Drosophila melanogaster: one gene and its partners. The protein of the gene in region 2 interacts with the protein of the main gene of each other region in a pairwise test. Each region holds a gene or a part of one and is shown on either strand. Other genes may lie near its edges.

Region 1 (5,616 bases), on a different chromosome or scaffold from region 2:
AGGACCAATTAAAGTCCAAAGTGACTGAGCCGCAGGGAGGACGTGGCAAGCATCTCGCAGCTGGGATCTGCACAGCGAGTAAATCATGCCGCAACGGTCCAATGGCCTGCATCCTTGAATTTTATAGATGTCCTTTCATTAGATTTCAAAACAATCTATAGTAATGTCGAATAGTATTTCAATGTACTATACTTCAGGTATAAAACTTATGTAACACTTAATGAATGCTCCGAATGACAGGTCTTGAAAATCATATATTCAGCGCAAGTTTCCCAGTGCTTGCATATGAATTAAAATGAACAAGAACCACGAATTGTTTTCAGTGTGGAAATGGGTCTCGCTACGCTGGGCGCAGCTGGTGGGTTCTGTAGACAAGTGAGGTGTACAGTGGTGTGGGGATTGGGATGCAGCACCCCTCCTGAAAAAGGGGAAGTTTCGAGGCCGGGATTGCCGGCGCGTTCAAGTGCTGTTTGTTGTCGTTCTGCACAGGTTCCCCTCGGGAAAGGGTATACAAACAGTACAGTCTGTGGCCAGTGTTTATGTATGTGTTGATTCGGTGCAGTCACGTTTGAAAACTAAGAAGTTTAGAGACTTGTTTACGTTTAACAATTCTCATCGGTGACTGACCCAAATATAACACATCCAGTGCGTACGTTACACATCCAACTACACTGAGAAACACAAGAAAAAAAGGGGTTTCTTTTAGTTAGTCACAGCTTTATCTTGACAATGACTGCGCTTTGACTGCAAAGTAGTATCGAATTTTAAGCCCTTTTAAGCTTAATCTGTGAAGATTGTCCTAATTGTAATGTTTATCAACAATTCAACAAAGTTGCCATAGATTTCTCACTGTGCATGACTTCATCGTTTTGTTTGCTATATCACCCCCCGTGGGGATAAAACGAATTGTGAGGACTGCGGGGAGTGTTGCGACACGCCGGTAAACCTGGCACCTCGCAGGAGGCATATTCTCATTTATTAATGCGTCGTCACTGCTGTTCCCAGTTCCCATTCCTATTCCTCCTGTGCTGCGGTGGAGTGGGCGGCTCGGGTGGCGGGTTCGTGCAAAACGGTGGTGGCCGCTGTCTCAGCCGCACTTAATTCCCGCCAGAACTGCCGGGGCCATTAAAGGATAAAAGAGCGGGATTTCTGATTGGGAAGCGCTGACCCTGTTGGCCGCGATAAGTGGGTGCGCACAGCAGCAGGAGCACGGCATCTGCCTAATCCGACCGGCCCACTGTGCAGTGGGATGGGGAGTGGGGAGCATAAGTATTGATTTTTCTCACATGTCCCCGGCAAACACACACATCTTGTCTAGGGAGCCGCATCGCCCGCCCCCACCCCACTGCCCCTGCTCGGAGCAACTTCCTCCGACACCTGGCAGCGATTTGGAAGTTTTCGCAGCTCGTAAATGCTGCACTGCAGCCATAAAACGGCCGCTGCAATGACTCGCATGAATTGCGTTTGTTTATGCTATGGAAAAGGAATCCGGGGTCTGCTGTATGTCGTTTGGGATGCTCCATAGGCAGAGAAATGCTCGATGTTACTCACTCGCCATGTTTGCCGCCTTTGTTGATTATTCCGCTGCTGCTTCTTCCGTTTTTATGCTTTTCTGCTTTTCTTGCTCTGCGTTGGTTGCGATTCCAGGCACGTTGTATCACTGTTAGCTTGTAACAAACACTGCTGATAGGCTAATGACTGCTGCGCGCAACTGAACACATTTCACGGCTTTCTTTCAGTCGCGTCTCCGTTCAACTTCCGCAATATCCGTATAATTCGTATTATCCGTGTAATCCGTATTTTCCGAATCGCGTTCAGACGTTCACACCAACAACTGCAATTCTAGTGTGACCGCAGAGCTCGAGCTGCACGATACCTCCAATGAGAGATGCCATATCGATGCTTACGCATTTTATTAACATCGATAGACATTTCTAGAATGTCTAGACTTTAATGCTTGGATTTTCCAAAAACTATAATCTGTTTCCAAAAAGTTATCGATAAGTATCGATCAGTGTTGAAACTATTTGTATTTTATATTAAATTCTGGGGTGTGACTAGTAATATTAGGAATATAAGCTTTAAAGAAAAAATCGAATTCTTTATAAGTGATTTAGTTCGAACGTTAACTTAAGATTTGCCACCACAATCGGAAAGTAGCTATTTTCTAGCTAGCTTTGCCCATTAATCGATTGGTGGCAACACTGGTCGGCACATCCCACTCACTCAACAAATTGTTTACCACAAAAAACCGTGCTGAAAGTGAACGAAAATAAAGTGCAGCCCGGCGTCGAGCATTTGCAGTGATCCCAAGACGCCCAACCATTGATTCCCGTAGCGGTGTCCACCCGGATTCCAGCCCACCGCCACCAGCACGCCATTCCATTTGGGGAGCCTCTCGGTCGGTTCGGTCAAACAGTCGCGATTGCCCGGTCGTCCACGAACGCTTATAAAATTGGCAAGATAACTAAGCAGAGCACAAAGATGCCGCCAGCATCAGCGGTAAACAACAGCAACGCGGCCGCCCAGGCGGCGAAGGCCGAGCGGGCGGAGAAGCTGCGCGGGGCACTGAAGGGCTTCATCGTGGCGGACCGCCAGCGGCGCCAGGAGGAGTTCGAGGCTCAGTGCGAGGAGCAGCGGCTGCGACGGGAGCGCGAGGAGGTGGAGCGCCAGAACCAGGTGGCCCTGGATGACACACGCGGCCAGATAACCCGACTGGACGAGCAGCTGGCCGATCTGCACAGCCAGAAGCATCAGCTGACCGTCCAACTCAAGAAGGTGCTCAACGAGGACGAAACGCGCAAGAAGCTGGCCAAGGAGAACGAACTGTTCGCCATCCAGCAGGCGGCGGCCAGTAGCCCGGTCTTCCTGCCGCCCCTGCGCCTCCAACACCAGCACCATACGCTGATGCAGAAGGTCTCGACTGCGCAATTGTGGGATTCAGGTTCTAATGGTCCTCTTTTTTCCTCGCAGCTCCCGTCCGGCGGACAGCCAGGAAAACGTGGCAGGAGTCCATCGCCGCCGAGTCAGCAGCAGGCTTACTACAAGAGCGCCGCCAGCTACGCCCAGCAGAGTAAGCCAGGAAGAGGTCGACAATGTGGTCCCTGGGCCTCCGATACAGTGAACGCTGCCTCAGGCAGGCAGTCCAAAGTCTCATGCACGCAATTTCGGTTGGATTTTGTTAACTCGAATGCGGGATCTGCTCATAATTTGATTAGTCATTGAATTGGTTAGCACATATGTATGGTTCTTGATTTGGACGAGAGATATACGTGATTTTTGTGATGTCATCATCTCTACATTCTGATTGCCAAGCCCTTTTTTAAGCTCTATGAAATATTAGCACTAATATCAATTGAACTTCTAATTAGGAATGATTGCAAAAACATGGTTAAGTGTTAAGTAAATAATCAATTCGATATAAAGAAAGTTTCGTGCTGTTTAGGCTTTGTATTGGATGGTTTAGTTTAATGTGTTTTAATGTGCACAAAAATTACCCTATTATTTTGAAGGATATATAGTGTAGAAACGATATATATAGGGTTTCTAGCAGATAGCTCGAGTTTTAAAATTCAACTGCAAATTGGCATTGGCTAAAGGTGCGATACAATCACCGATTGATCTGTTCTGCGGAGCTTTCGCTGTTCTTCTTGATTAACTGCTCGCTAACACTCCGTCCCGTTCATGAGAAATCCATTTCACTGCGCACACTAACCTCTAACAACACAGGCACACAACTTATGTTCATTTCGTTATTTGTTTACGATCGATTCGCAGAACACGATGACTACCGTCGTGCCGCTGACTATGCTAGATTATCATGGAACAGTAAGCACCTCACTTGCAATACCAAGCCCGAGATCCTCCGTCGGAACGATCGCCAGATTCGTCAATTAAACCTCACTTTTCCTCTCTTCCAGAAACAGCGGCACAGTATCCGGGCACGGGAACGGTCTTCTACCAGACGGTCGCTCCTCCGCCGACGACACAGCACCAGGCGGACGCCCGCTTGCAGTCCATCTACAACTACAACCTTCCGTTGCGCCAGGCCTACCACGTGGACCTGCCCAGCGCCACGGTCAGCAAGCCGCCCGACTCGCAGTCGCCCAAGGCACCGTCGCAGTCGCAGCCCATGCAAGTGCTTCACATCAACCTCGACCAGCCGACCATTTCGCAGGCAGACCTGGTGGCTCAAGCCGGCGGCAGCCTCTCGGTAAAGGCCTCCCAGCCACACGTGACTATGGAGAAGCTACCGGACCGCTACCACATCGAGGTGAAGCACGACGGCCAGCCGCCGAGCCACGTCCCGCCTCCGCCACACCTGCTGCCGGAGGGCGTCATCTTCAAGCCGCTGCTCAACGAACTCTCATTGCACAGCAACGTGCTGCAGATAAGCAGCAGCCAGGTGGGTCTCATTCTCAACATTTGTGGTTAATTAGCCGTGGCAGTGTCTTAGAATTTACAACTTAGAACAAACAAGTTAGATTTACATCTTCGAAATCGAAGTTCAACGATTAGGCTCTGCGAAAATGGTTTTTAAAGCCTGAGCATCTTGAATAAGAGCTGTTTTCTATAAAACAAATTCATTGTTGCAGGTTTTCATGTTTTCATAGGAAAACGCATTAGAACCAACTTCCCAACTACTGATTAACATGTTTGATATCATTTACAAGGAAGAACTAAATATTCACTTGACTAACGCCTGGCCAGTTTCCTCCACAGAATCCGAAAACAGCGGGAAGCATCACACAGGGCTATGCCCCTGGACGAGGTGGATCCGCCCACGAGCAGCAGTTGGCTCGGCAACAGCTGGCGATGCTGCCTGGCCAGCCGGGAGCACCGTCCGGATCCGGCTCCGCCCAGCCGCCTCCTGGTCAGCAGATGCATTACACGCGGCGATTGTACTAGCCTCTAACCCCTAACCCCTTTTGTCGCTACGGAACTCGCTAACTGATATACTTACGATTTTAAATAGACATTACAACACTGACTACGCTTCCCACGTGAAGTCGGATAAACGAAATAAAGCACACAACTATGGCGTCCCTATTTTCCAATCGACAATACCATACTGATATTTGATATTGATTTGATATTTGGTATCAATGGGCTTCTGTGGTTCTGTGGTTATACCATAATAACTTTGAGGTATCGTAGTTCTAATCACCAACAGGCAAATTGATCTAACTCGAAAGAGTTTTTGAAATTCTGGGCAATAGAAATTGGATCATGTATACATATAAAAAATGACTATTATATAAAATGGTATGTACAGCTGTGTTCAGAAAAATAGCAGTGCGAGGAATACTAATTAATACAAAGGTATTTTTCCATGTCCCTTTTCGGAATTGACTTTTTATTCCACTTATTTTTGTTAAATGGAATGTGTATATAGGGAAAAAAAGAAAATCCGGTTAGTTTTTCATGTTATCCTTTTTTTATTTACTTTCTTAAGCGAAATCACAACTTTTAGGCTGTTCATAAGAATAGCAGTGTCTGGTTTTGACCAACGTAAAGTCAGGAAATGATCAATATTTTTAAAAAGTGAGTTTGATTAATTCGTACATTTAAAAGGGGAGTAAATGAAAAAAATTATATATTAGTGGGTAAAGGACA
Region 2 (3,803 bases):
TTCTCCATTCAAAATAATACGAATACTACTTACCCGAGCGAATATACGTAATACTATATGAAGTTGTGGTTCCAAAACTGGCATAAAGGGATTTGCACATGAAAACCCTTTGCATGTGTGTCCTGTCCCACTACAGAAATGCAAATTATCCAAATCCCCCAAAGGTCTGTTGCCATTTCGATTGCGGCTCGGCTGTTGCTATATCGTCCTGTTTATGCCTGATTAAAGTCAAACAACAAACATATTCTGAGCTGCATTTACCAGACAATCGTATAAACATATACACATGTGGTCATCAGAATAGAATTTATTAGTTGGGAGATCTACAAATCTGCCAATTATTTTAAGCAAATTGTTTTTACTCTCCTTTAACGCAAACAACTTTTATTTATTTAGTTAGTAGCCCTAATTAATATATTACCTGCTAAGTAATACTTGGAACTATTGTTTTCCATACAAATATATAATCCCGCATCTCTGGCCCGAAAAGTCCTCTCTAATCTATGCAGAGAAATGCTTGACAGTGCCTTGTTGTGTGGCTCAACTTTGGCCCCAATCCTAAATCCTTTGTGTCCTTCGTGGCCAGGATTTGCTTCTCATTACCAAGAAGCCCCCATTGTTCGCTCCACTGGGAGGAGCACGTGTGAGAAAGGTTGATGGCCAGGGACATGGGTTTGTGCAGTTTGGTTCTCGCCTTCTCCGCTCCCAAATTATGCAAATTGCTCGAAATTTTGCATTGGATAATTTCCCTATTTGCCCGTAATGCTCAATAAAAAAAAAAAAAATACAAACACAAAAAACATTTTATGACCCAAGAGACCAACGATGGCAGCAAATGGCTGAGCAGAAAAAATACTGAACAGTTGTATAAATGCACCAACAAAAATAAAAATAATATAAAAACAGAACAAACTGCGACGCATTTAATTAAAAATGTAATTACCCATGCTTTTCAACAGCCACATTGCTCGAAGCGGTAGCCAGAGGCTATGAAAACATTATTCGGAAAATTGTTGCAAATTTAATTGTTAAATCCTGCTATATTTTACTGCGGTGTTACTGCATCACGGAGCAGTTGTAGTTTTTTCCATTTCACAAATTTATCTTACTGAAAATGAGTTTAAGAACCATGTCAGAAAAGAGCGTGGGGCAACTAACAAAAAAAAAATTTTAAAAAACTAACTAGTAATCTTTTGTTGTCAATGCCTTGAATTTTCCACAATTTCAGTCTAAATGGAAAACTGTCAATGAAAAGACAATATTTAAACACAACTATTTTCGAAAAACTAAATTTTAAAATTCATCTTTTCGGGAAATCCAAATTTTAGCCCAAGGTATACTTACAATTTGCCATGGATGACTTTGATTTCAGTAGTCCACCTCCGGAGGTACGAACAGTTCATACCCACACGCTGAATGATGAACAGCTCAAGGATTGTGAGGCGGCCTTCGCCCTCTTCGACGACGATAATGCCAAGGTCATTCCGATCAAGTTATTGAGAGATTGCCTGCGAGCCGTGGCCCACAACCCGCCGGAAAACGAGATACAGGATTATATAACCGAAATTGATACGGATGGATCCGGCGAGCTTTATCTCAGTGATTTCCTATACATCATGTCGAAACGGTACGAGAATTTGACCGTCGAAGATGAAGTTATCCTCGCTTTCAAAGTCTTCGACAAAGATGGATCTGGCTTTATACACGAGAATGAGTTCCGTCAGATAATGACTGAATATGGCGATGAAATGGAAGAGGACGAGATCGAGGAAATGATACGTGATGCCGACGCCAACACGGAACTGAAAATCGACTACGTTCGCTTTGTGACCATGATGATGGAGACGTAACACTCTCTTTGAAAAATAAAAAACATAACCGATTGTAGATCTAATCAATAAATTTCAAAAGCATGGCCAATGGAATCGAAGATCTTGAAATATCGGATACCACCAGTTTGGACTATTCTTTAAAAAAAAAAAAAAGCCAATATACAATAGATAAAATGATAACAAGAGTAGGCTTTTCTTGTTATTAAATTATAAATATGAAGTTGTGAACTAAAGTTTGTCGAAAATTTGTAGTGAGTGTTCAGTGACCCCAAAATTTTCCCACCCCCAACCCCTTCCTTTGGCCATGGATTTCGAATTCCTTACTCCGCCGCCAGAGGAACGGACCATTCGCACCCACAATCTGACCGAAGAACAGGTCAAGGATTTGGAGATTGCCTTTTCCCTGTTTGACGACCAAGACACTAAGGTTATTCCTATAACAAATCTCAGGCAACTAATGCTGTCTGTGGCCCACTATCCCAGTGATATGGAATTGCAGGAAATTCAGGCCGAGATCGATGCTGATGGATCCGGTGAGTTATATCTCAGCGATTTCCTTCACATCATGTCTCAGAGGTACGCAAACATGTCTACCGAGGATGAAATTATAGCTGCATTCAGAGTCTTTGACAAAGAAGGAACCGGCTTAATATCTGAATCGGAATTTCGTCACATAATGCAGAACATGGGGGAGCAATTGACGGATGATGAGGTGGAGGAGATCATCCGTGATGCAAATTCTGATTTGGAAGGCAATATAGACTATGTGCGATTTGTCAGAATGATGTCCACTACATAAGGAAAAAGCAGGCTTTAGGGGTTGGGAACCCGACCTGTCAGTATCAGTATCATCAAAACAGTTTCGGCTCATTCCCTTTCGTAAATTCCAACAGTCTATAGCTCTGCAAGCATTTAAAAATATCTCGATAAATACCGAAAATCTTTGAAAATTTATCAAGATGTCCGAACTAACGGAGGAGCAGATTGCCGAGTTCAAGGATGCCTTTGTCCAGTTCGACAAGGAGGGAACCGGCAAGATCGCCACCCGTGAGCTGGGCACATTGATGCGCACCTTGGGCCAGAATCCAACGGAGGCCGAGTTGCAAGATTTGATAGCTGAGGCCGAGAACAACAACAATGGCCAACTGAACTTCACTGAGTTCTGCGGTATAATGGCCAAGCAAATGCGGGAAACTGACACTGAGGAGGAAATGCGTGAGGCATTCAAGATTTTTGATCGTGATGGCGATGGCTTTATATCACCAGCTGAGCTTCGCTTTGTGATGATCAATCTGGGCGAAAAGGTCACCGACGAGGAGATCGATGAGATGATTCGCGAGGCTGATTTTGATGGGGATGGCATGATCAACTACGAGGAATTCGTATGGATGATAAGCCAGAAGTAGTACAGCTACTTTAAATGAAATAAAAATATTTGGGGTCACTGCATAAAAAAAATCGTGTATTTCTCTTCAAAAAATACAATTTACACTTCTCTGCGGTCTAACTATTTTCGAACACTTTTTAATACGCCCCCAATTATTTCAATTATATTTTTGCGGTGTGCTAGTTTTTCCTTTGCCTAATTCGGAGACCGAGAATTTTTCAAGCATGTCCTGCTCTTAAAAATGTTTGATGAAGGCACCCCATTTCGGTAATTGTGGTTGGTTTAAGGAATTTTCGCCTCGCCTTCTTCAGGTGAAAACTTTCAGCATGAAACACTCGACGTGGTTTTAGTCCGCCTTTTCGTTTCCCTGGCAAGTGGTTTTTGCTTCCACATGCGGCACCTTTGTGGCCAGACGAACAATTTTCCTGTTGCTTAAATTCAATTTGCTTATGCATTAAAATTAAATTTTACTGTGGCCTCAGCGGGCCCGGCTCGTACTCCTTGCTGGAAGCAACCTCTTGGGGTCTTTGGGGCTTGTGTCTGACTTTATAAATATTTCGTGTGTGTTGTGTACGCGCATGTAT
Region 3 (5,050 bases), on a different chromosome or scaffold from region 2:
TTCTTTTTTTAAGCAGCATACAAATTTATTATTGACTTTTAAAATTTTTTCGTTTTTAGGTCATGAAGTTCTCCGTGTCCCCTGTGGTGCGCGTGGCTGTTGAGCCAAAGAACCCCGCGGACTTGCCTAAGCTGGTGGAGGGCTTGAAGCGTTTGGCTAAGTCCGATCCTATGGTGCAGTGTATCATCGAAGAGTCCGGCGAGCATATCATTGCTGGTGCCGGTGAGCTGCATTTGGAGATCTGCCTTAAGGATCTAGAGGAAGACCACGCTTGTATCCCACTGAAGAAGTCTGATCCCGTCGTCTCCTACCGTGAGACTGTGTCGGAGGAGTCCGACCAGATGTGTCTGTCCAAGTCGCCCAACAAGCACAACCGTCTGCTGATGAAAGCCCTACCTATGCCAGACGGTCTTCCCGAGGACATTGATAACGGCGATGTGAGTGCCAAGGATGAGTTCAAGGCTCGTGCCCGTTATTTGTCTGAGAAGTACGACTACGATGTGACTGAGGCCCGTAAGATCTGGTGCTTCGGCCCCGACGGAACCGGTCCGAATTTCATCCTCGACTGTACCAAGTCCGTGCAGTACCTTAACGAAATCAAGGACTCTGTTGTCGCTGGATTCCAATGGGCCTCAAAGGAGGGTATTTTAGCCGACGAAAACTTGCGCGGTGTCCGCTTCAACATCTACGATGTGACACTTCACGCTGATGCCATCCATCGTGGTGGTGGCCAGATCATTCCAACCACTCGTCGTTGTCTGTACGCTGCCGCTATAACCGCCAAGCCGCGCCTGATGGAGCCTGTTTACCTGTGCGAGATCCAGTGCCCCGAGGTTGCTGTAGGAGGAATATACGGTGTGCTCAACAGGCGACGTGGCCATGTATTCGAGGAAAACCAGGTTGTGGGCACTCCCATGTTCGTTGTGAAGGCATACCTGCCCGTCAACGAGTCATTCGGTTTTACCGCCGATCTGCGCTCTAATACCGGAGGACAGGCCTTCCCTCAATGTGTCTTCGATCATTGGCAGGTGTTGCCTGGCGATCCGAGCGAGCCCTCAAGCAAGCCCTATGCCATCGTCCAGGATACTCGTAAGCGCAAGGGTCTTAAGGAAGGATTGCCCGATCTATCCCAGTACTTGGACAAGTTGTAAAGCACCACCACCCGATCCCCCACAACATCCAAGTGCAGCTGGCTGAGCGGAAAAGCATAGAAAAATATGGAGTGACCGAATTTAACATCTTTATTCGGCAAGGCACTTGAAACATCGCCTTTGGTCAATGTTTTAAAACAAATAAAAACAATAAAAATTTTGATGATTATGAATTGTATAACATTAAATCAAGAATAAATCAAGTAAATGATTTAATACTTATCTTTACATAAATCAGAGCGCCGCTATGTGACTGACACGAGAATTGATTTTGGTTTAATTTTGTTTGCGAAAAATTTACAAATTATGCGCTCTCTTGTGTCCTTGCCATACATTAAAGCGATTTGTCGGTGACGATACCCATATACACTGGAATACGTGAATAAAGTTAGACGCATATTTTAGTTTTTATTACTTAGTCTGGTCGTCCATTTGTGAAAATAATGCAGTCAGCCGTTCCTACCGCGCCGGTGTGGGTTGAAGTCCTTGCTAAGCAATATCGCCGTTTAAGTAAAATGAATATTAACTCGATATCCGACATGACCAACAAATTTTCAGAATGTCAAGTACTAGAAATTTAGGTTTTAAGTTTATTTCTGCACTGATCTATCTATTTATTTGCTCCATTTTTGCTGATAGAAACTCTTGTTGAAAGAAACACTTCTTTGTAAACAGTCAACGACGATTTATGCTGCGCGTGTCGAAAGATATCGATAAAATATTTTGGTACATTTCTGATATCCCTAGATTTGTGAACGTTTCTCTGTCATAAACAAAAGTTTGCTTTCGTGTTGTCGGAAAGTCGGTGATAAGTAGGTTCTCTGGTCTCTGGCATGGGCATTTTCATGTGTGTTTGAGATAAAAGCCCATTGCGAAATTAGAATATTCTCGGACATAACCGTTCAAAGCCGATGGTACCGTGCTTTAAGTGTCGCCGCGGCGTCTGCCATTCGTGGACCCCCTGCCCTCTTCGCTTTGAGTTTTCTATTATTAGCAGCTTTTCGCTTCGAAAGACTTCTGTTTGACCATTTTGTGAGCCGACAGCAGAAGCTTCCGAACAACTCCAGGCAGTCGAAAAAGTCGGTTCGCCTTGTCGGCAGTTAGTGCATGTGTCTGCATTTGAAAAAATCGATGCCAGACTGCAGAAACTTCATTGAGAACGAAAAGGAGTGAGAAGATGAAAGCCAACAGCAGTAAGTTTTACTGCTAGACAATGTGGCCCTCGATTTTGTGCGTATATGGATGTAACAGTTACTGTAAGCGTTAGACATTAACTGATAACACCGGAAATGAATTTTTCCCATATTAGGGTTTTTCCCATTATACACTATTGACGCAAATTGGTCGAGTATGATTTTTGAGGCAAGCTCAGTTGCTGTTGCAAATGGTTTTCAATTGACCAAAGACGAACAAACGTGTTTTTACATGTACATACATATGTATGTATACATGTAGCCAGCCGTACAAGGTGTGTGTGTGTGGGTGGAGGTTGACGAGAATGCTTTGTGAGAGCGCCTGACTGGGGGGGACCCAAACTCTTCGCCTAGACCCCAAAGTGTATAGAAAATATGAATGAAGATGAGGCAGAGTGCGAATAGTGAGCTTCTACACTCTTCTCTCCCGAGTAGATGTTGTCTCGTTCTCCTCGCAGCACTTCATTCTCAAAATCGTTCTCCGCGAAAAATCAATGCATAAAAACGGTGAACGGTGAACAGTTTTTAATTGCCCGGAGTTGCGCGTGTGTTTACCTTTTTTGGTGTAAATGCCATAAGGATTTTTGTGAAAGGATGAAAAATGTTTAAATGTGTGGCATACAATGACAATGTACTTATATATTCACACATTCATATGTGAAATAGCAGTGCTAAGAAATACAAAGGAATTTTTCCATGTCCCTTTTTGGAATCGACTTTTTATTCCACTTATTTTTGTAAAATGGAATGTGTAGATAGGAAAAAAGGAAATCCCGTTAGTTTTTCATGTTATCTTTATTTTATTTACATTCTTTAGCAAATTCACAACTTTTAGGCTGTTCATGAGAATAGCAGATTCTGGCTTTGTCCAACTTAAAGTCCCAAAATTATCAATATAAGTTCAAGCAAGTTCAATCCTTTTGCATCCTCTGGGGACATAAAGTCTGAGCAGCACTTTGGAATCATCGAAGTTACAATTCGGAGACGACTACTGAATCAAAATTTAAGTGCTAGGAGTCCACGAAAGGTTCTCCTACTTAGCCCAAGGCATAATAAGGAAAGGTTAAAGTTCGCTAAAACCCACCTATACTGGCCAGTCTCCAAATGGTGTAAGATCCTTTGGACTGATGGGTCAAAAATTGTGCTATTTGGTGGAACTGGTTCACTACAGTATATCAGACGACCTCCAAACACGGAGTACCACCCAAAACACCAAGCCAACACTTTCAATTATGGTGGACCTAAAATACTGGTATGGGTTTGATTTTCTTTACAATGGTATTAGTCCAAAACATATGATTTTTGGTATTATAGACCAAAAAGCATATGCAAATTTACTTAGTGATGTCTTACTGTCATAAACTGAATGGAATATGCCCTTAAAATGGACATTCCAACAGGATAATGATGCAAATCGGCTAAGAATTGGTTCGACCAAAATAGAATAAAGATAAGGCCGTGGCCAGCACCATCTTCCGATTTAAACCCGATCGAAAACCTGTGGGGGTACTTTAAACAATATGTGTCAATGAACTCCCCGACGTTTAAGGCTCAGCTTTGCCAAGTTGTGCAGGATGCATGGTAAAAAAGTTGCCAGGACCTGGTGCACTCCAAGCCGCGTAGGTGAAAGCCTTTGGTGGCTGGCAGATGCTATCCAACCAAGTATTAGACCCTAATTAACACATTAAAAAGAAAAACTAAGTTCGTTATAAGTCAAGTTGAACTTTGTTACTATTTTTTTAGAATTTCTGCCTATTATGTTGTTTTAATATATATTTCGAAACTATTAATGAAATAAAAGTGAAACATTGTTGAATTGTTTAAAATTAAATACCTAATGAAATTATAAAAAAAATGATCCCAAGCTCTGCTATTTTTATGAACACAGCTGTACGTCTAGTGTTAAAATTGCAAAATAATATAGTAGTACAATTCTGAATTTAAAACTAGATTGGGCGTAAAAAAATTTTATTTTTATACATACATGTATTTGTCGGACTAAGATATGTACAGCTGTGTTCAGAAAAATAGCAGTGCGAAGGAAACTAAGTAATACAAAGGTATTTTTCCATGTCCCTTTTCGGAATCGACTTTTTATTCCACTTATTTTTGTTAAATGGAATGTGTAGATAAGGAAAAAAAAGAAAATCCGGTTAGTTTTTCATGTTATCCTTCTTTTATTTGCATTCTTGAGCAAAATCGCAAGTTTTAGGCTGTTCATAGGAATAGCAGTGCCTGGTTTGAAATGATCATTATTTTCTAAAAAGTGAGTTTGGATAAGTTAATTTATATATTTAAAAGGGCAATAAATTTAAAAAAAAAATAAAAAAAATTATATTTTAGTGGATAGAGGACAGCACTGCTCCCAGCAGAAAATAATGTAAATTCATAAGCTAAGAAAGGAAGGAAAAACATAAAGGGACATTCAAAAAACCCTTGAATGTTTTCCAAAATGGTATCCAATGCCATTAAATATGAATGGAAGCCCGAAACCCGTGGTACCAAACAAAAAACCACAGATATAGAGGATCGACGCATAGTTCGTTAGAGCAACGCCTATCCTTTTGCATCCTCTAGGGACATAAAATCTGAGCTGAACTTGGGAATCAGTGACGTTACTATTCGGAGACGACTACTGAATCAAAATTTCAGTGCGAGGAGTCCACGAAAGGTTCCCCCACTTAGCCCAAGGCTTATTCAGGCAAG
Region 4 (4,191 bases), 8.1 Mb from region 2:
TTGAGTCGAACGTGAAGATAGGAAACGGAGGATAACAAAGTTAAGAGCGAAATTCAAGCACACAGCATACTTATTGTACTAAATTTAATAAAAATGAAGCGACGAGCGAGGAGGAATAACTAACACATACATATGCATACGCACGCTACGGTTTATCGTATATTAAATATATATATAAATAAATGCATAAACTAACATTAAATTACATGAGAATGAATTGTGTATGTAAAAGGGATGAATGCATACATACGTACATCTAGACATTGATATATAAATACATAGAGGATAGTTTTTAAATTCTACCACTTACTAATACCTACATATTACCACAATGTGCAGCATAGGAACTCATAAACTGATCGAACTGAACGAACACCAAAGTTCACGCGGAAATATTTAAAAGCAACACGTATATAAGGCAGTTTATTGGATTCAATGTGGTCTAAATGTTGCAGAAGGACGAATCCTTAGAGATGACTAAAAACCATTGTACATACTTAACTATTATGTAAATTTCACTGTATTTTTGTTTTTACGCAATGTTACAAGGCACATGTAAGTGGCAGCACTGCATTTTGTATTATGTTTATGTGTATGATGTTGTATGATGTATTGATGGGCTGCGAAAATTCCAACTTCTTAGTTTTAATCGCATAACTCGGAGGCGAATGGAAATGAAATTAAGCGAGAGAAACAAGCAAACAAGCAAAAATGAAAAACCCTCAGATGAAGGCAAGCAAACAATTTAAATTGAAATCAAATTAGGTGATATAATATATAAAAATACATAACATATACATACATAATTAATATAAACGAAACATGAAAAATCGAAAAAATGAAACCCTAATGCTGTAATCTTATGTTAACTGTATTATTTGCTGGAAGTGCTGCTGCTTCGTTTTATTTTATATCGAACTTACTTAAGGCGTAAATGACAAGATAAATAATTAGGTTTTTATCTTAATCTTAATTTAAAATGCAAAACAAATAAAACCAAGAAAACAAAGCAAAACAAAACGAAACCATAAAATGCTATAAAACACAAAGCGAAGCAAATCGAACTAAAGCTGTAGAGAAGCACGCAAAAAGGACTAATAACCACACATCCACACCCACACCCAAAATGCTTGGCGTTAGGAAACCAATAAACAATTAATGCAAAACCATACATGGGTGGGTGCACCAATTTGTATACTAAACTTTCTCACACATAATTAACGTGCTACATAAGAGATCGAAAATGAAATGTCTCCAGATTCTGGCATGAGCAAGTCTAGAGGTCCTTCCGGTTTCCGGTGGCGATCCTCTGGATCCAGAGGAACTGCAAGATATTGGGAGATAATAGGAAACTGCTGCTGTTGATACGTGTATTCGTGTAGTTGTTTGCAAACAAATATTATAACTCAGCATCTCGATATATAACGTGTAGTTATTAGTCTATAATTTGCTAGGATGTAAATGTATGTCCCTCAAACTTAATTTAATTATTTAATTAATATACATACATATATGATATACAATACAGCCTTTGTACTTGTCGTTTCTTATCGCTGATAAGGGAAAAATATTTTTTGGCGGGGAAATACTTTTTAGAACTCATTTCGATTTTTTCAGTGCAAATCAATTGGTCAGATTGATGAATCCTATGGTAACGCATTCCCAAAATATTTCTTATTATATTATTATAAACTATATTGCTTCTGTTCAGCGTAGGACATTCACTGTTGAGCGAAAGATTATTATATAAATGTATATTCGAGATAATATGCAATTGAGCACCTAAATACCATGTCTAGGTTTTCAAAAATGTCTAGTAACAAGATCTTTTGTCTGTTATTAGGCTGTACTTTCAGCATTGAGGTCGATGTTACTCGATTGGGAATTTGTGCATTGTATTTACAATGTCAATTTGTTCAAATTTACAATTTCAAAAATCAATTTTAAAAGAACTTACATTAATATTAAGAATTCGCGTGTTCCGGGATAAATTTGACTTTTTTAATTAATTGACAATTTTAATCGGTCAATGAAGAGCTTTAAAATTGTATTAATAGTTCTTCAATTAATTGAATAATATGATGTGCAAAAAAATAATTATCGGAAAAAATACTTTTTGACAGTAAGTAGTTTCTTACAAAATATTTGATTTAAAAATTATATATCGATACTTTTTCGAGATTATTAAATTCGAACAGCTTTATCACAGCAAGTTGGCAGCCCAATTTCTACGTCGATAAGTCCTCTCGTTTAATGTTCCATCCCTTAAATTTGGGCGATAAGAATAAGCACAGCCGGCTGTAACATTTTTTGTAAATTAACAGAGCGAATCGATTTTTGTATAGTAATCCGTTGAAAGCATGCTGTCGCTCAAGATGAAACTCGAGGTACTGGGTCGTCCCGATGTTGACATCCCGGTGGTGATGAGCGGTAATTGTCTAGTTTTCCTGATGGGGCTATAAGTCATCCCATTCTTTTCGTTCCGCAGACCGCAAGGAATTCGCCAACACAGTCCTCTGGTTGGAGGACCAGAAGATCCGGCTTTACTCCATAGAGGATCGCTGTAAGCTGCGCACTGTCGACAACCCTGAGATCTGGAAGGAGGGTTACTTAAAGTACTGTGCCGATTTGAGCATGCCGCCCCTGGAGACGCGGCAGGAGCAGCTGGCCTGGATTGTCAGCTATGCTGTGCGCCTGGACTTCCTCGATGATCCTGATCAGTTTGCCTCGATTAACACCAAACAGGTGCCACCCCAAAGCAATGGCAAGCAGTCCCAACAAAGGGTCCAGGCTATTTTCGATGGAAATATTAATAGTATGGTCTGATTTTAACTAAATTTACCATTTAAGGAACTTTAAATTTATATATTATGGATTTTTTAAGAGGTTCCAAAAACCACTTTTATTATCTATAGATGATAATCAGGTAAAGTACAACAAGTATTAATTCTTTCTTCCCACCAGCTCAGGAAAAAGCGTTCGTGGATGGAGTCCGGCTGCTGGCCAGCAAACTGAATGTGCCGCACCACCCGAACCATCTGTTGCAGCTGGAGGCTATCGCTCGCGTGGTGCACGAACGCCTCTCGCCCGCCGCCAAGGATCGCAAGCCGGTAGTGGGTAAACCCTTCCCTTTTGACAAGGGAAACGACGTCGTCTCGTCCAACGACTCTGCCCTGGACCTGCCCATGCGCATACTACGTCTTCTCCAGATCCAGAGCCTACGCGAGCTGCAGACACACATCAATGAGACCATTGTGGCGGTGCAGAACATCACGGCCAATCCAAAGACTGATACCAAGCTGGGGAAAGTGGGATTCTAGACGATTAACAGTAAAGGAACGCAATCGACACAATATAACATAAAAGGACATAAAGAACATAAAAGTTTTAAAATTGCATCTATAAAATATCCTTTAAAGCCAAGCAACAACATTTAGCAGAAATCAATAGATAGATCAACAGCCAAGCTATGAACAAGCAAACACCTTTTTTGAAAGCTATAAAATAAGAATCCTGTTGATATTTTATAATATTATTATTAATACAAACATATGTTTATTTATGATCCTCTTTCAAAAGATGCAATATTGTGTATGCCTATGTAATTAATTTATTTAAAATAAATCATAAATTCATTAAAGCAAACAAGGTTTTGTTTTCAACGATTTTAAATAGAAAAAATTCTAAAAACAAGGTTACAGCTATATTATTGTAATGCCACATGGTCGTACAAAAGAAAACATTAACCTTTATATATTAAGTGACTCTACGATTATAATTAAAACGTCATTGAATTAACGTCTAGAAAAGAACTGATGATCAGTGCTAGTATTTTCCTGTTCTTTTGGCTTCTCGGCGGTTGCCTTCAGGAAATTCGCGTCTGCCAGGCGGGCCACGCCCAGAACTCCAACGGCTATGGCGACGAAGGAGAAAGGAGTAAACATAAGACCGGATTTAAGATCCCAAGTGGCTCACCTGCAGCCAAGCCTTTCATAGTGAAATTCTCCAGAGGTTTCGCTTGTCTTTTTTTCGACTGTGCCAATAGGAAGGCACCAATTCCCAGGAGTCCAAGGCCACTGACCAGACGGCAGGCCAAGCAGTCCACCTCGTTGGAAACGTTGTCCTTGTTCCAAAAAGAAAGTCTACCGATCATTTTTAAAATTATTTCAATAATAACAATTTGGGAATGGA

Evidence for each region.
Region 1: the proteins of Acam (region 2) and CG17002 interact in a two-hybrid assay, tested with the Drosophila melanogaster proteins (one large-scale study listed by BioGRID).
Region 3: the proteins of Acam (region 2) and CG2225 interact in a two-hybrid assay, tested with the Drosophila melanogaster proteins (one large-scale study listed by BioGRID).
Region 4: the proteins of Acam (region 2) and CG31249 interact in a two-hybrid assay, tested with the Drosophila melanogaster proteins (one large-scale study listed by BioGRID).

What each region holds. Positions count from the first base shown.
Region 1 is NT_033778.4:6,983,861-6,989,476, forward strand, and holds CG17002 (uncharacterized protein), read left to right. Parts: upstream 1-2,182; 5' UTR 2,183-2,484; coding exon 2,485-2,916; intron 2,917-2,973; coding exon 2,974-3,073; intron 3,074-3,777; coding exon 3,778-3,828; intron 3,829-3,920; coding exon 3,921-4,405; intron 4,406-4,710; coding exon 4,711-4,908; 3' UTR 4,909-5,062; downstream 5,063-5,616. Other genes in the region: vimar (visceral mesodermal armadillo-repeats), read right to left, coding at 1,552-1,558.
Region 2 is NT_033777.3:25,809,853-25,813,655, forward strand, and holds Acam (androcam), read left to right. Parts: upstream 1-2,058; 5' UTR 2,059-2,136; coding exon of another isoform or gene 2,137-2,631; 5' UTR 2,632-2,791; coding exon 2,792-3,238; 3' UTR 3,239-3,282; downstream 3,283-3,803. Other genes in the region: CG5024 (uncharacterized protein), read left to right, coding at 1,353-1,850; CG17770 (uncharacterized protein), read left to right, coding at 2,137-2,631. UniProt on the Drosophila melanogaster protein: May be involved in calcium-mediated signal transduction.
Region 3 is NT_033779.5:21,674,412-21,679,461, reverse strand, and holds the start of CG2225 (uncharacterized protein), read left to right. Parts: upstream 1-1,931; 5' UTR 1,932-1,963; exon of another isoform or gene 1,964-2,407; intron 2,408-3,234; exon of another isoform or gene 3,235-3,596; intron 3,597-5,050. Other genes in the region: eEF2 (eukaryotic translation elongation factor 2), read left to right, coding at 60-1,151.
Region 4 is NT_033777.3:17,685,135-17,689,325, reverse strand, and holds CG31249 (uncharacterized protein), read left to right. Parts: upstream 1-2,254; 5' UTR 2,255-2,360; coding exon 2,361-2,430; intron 2,431-2,488; coding exon 2,489-2,815; intron 2,816-2,964; coding exon 2,965-3,320; 3' UTR 3,321-3,637; downstream 3,638-4,191. Other genes in the region: CG31360 (uncharacterized protein), read right to left, coding at 3,795-3,913, 3,976-4,153.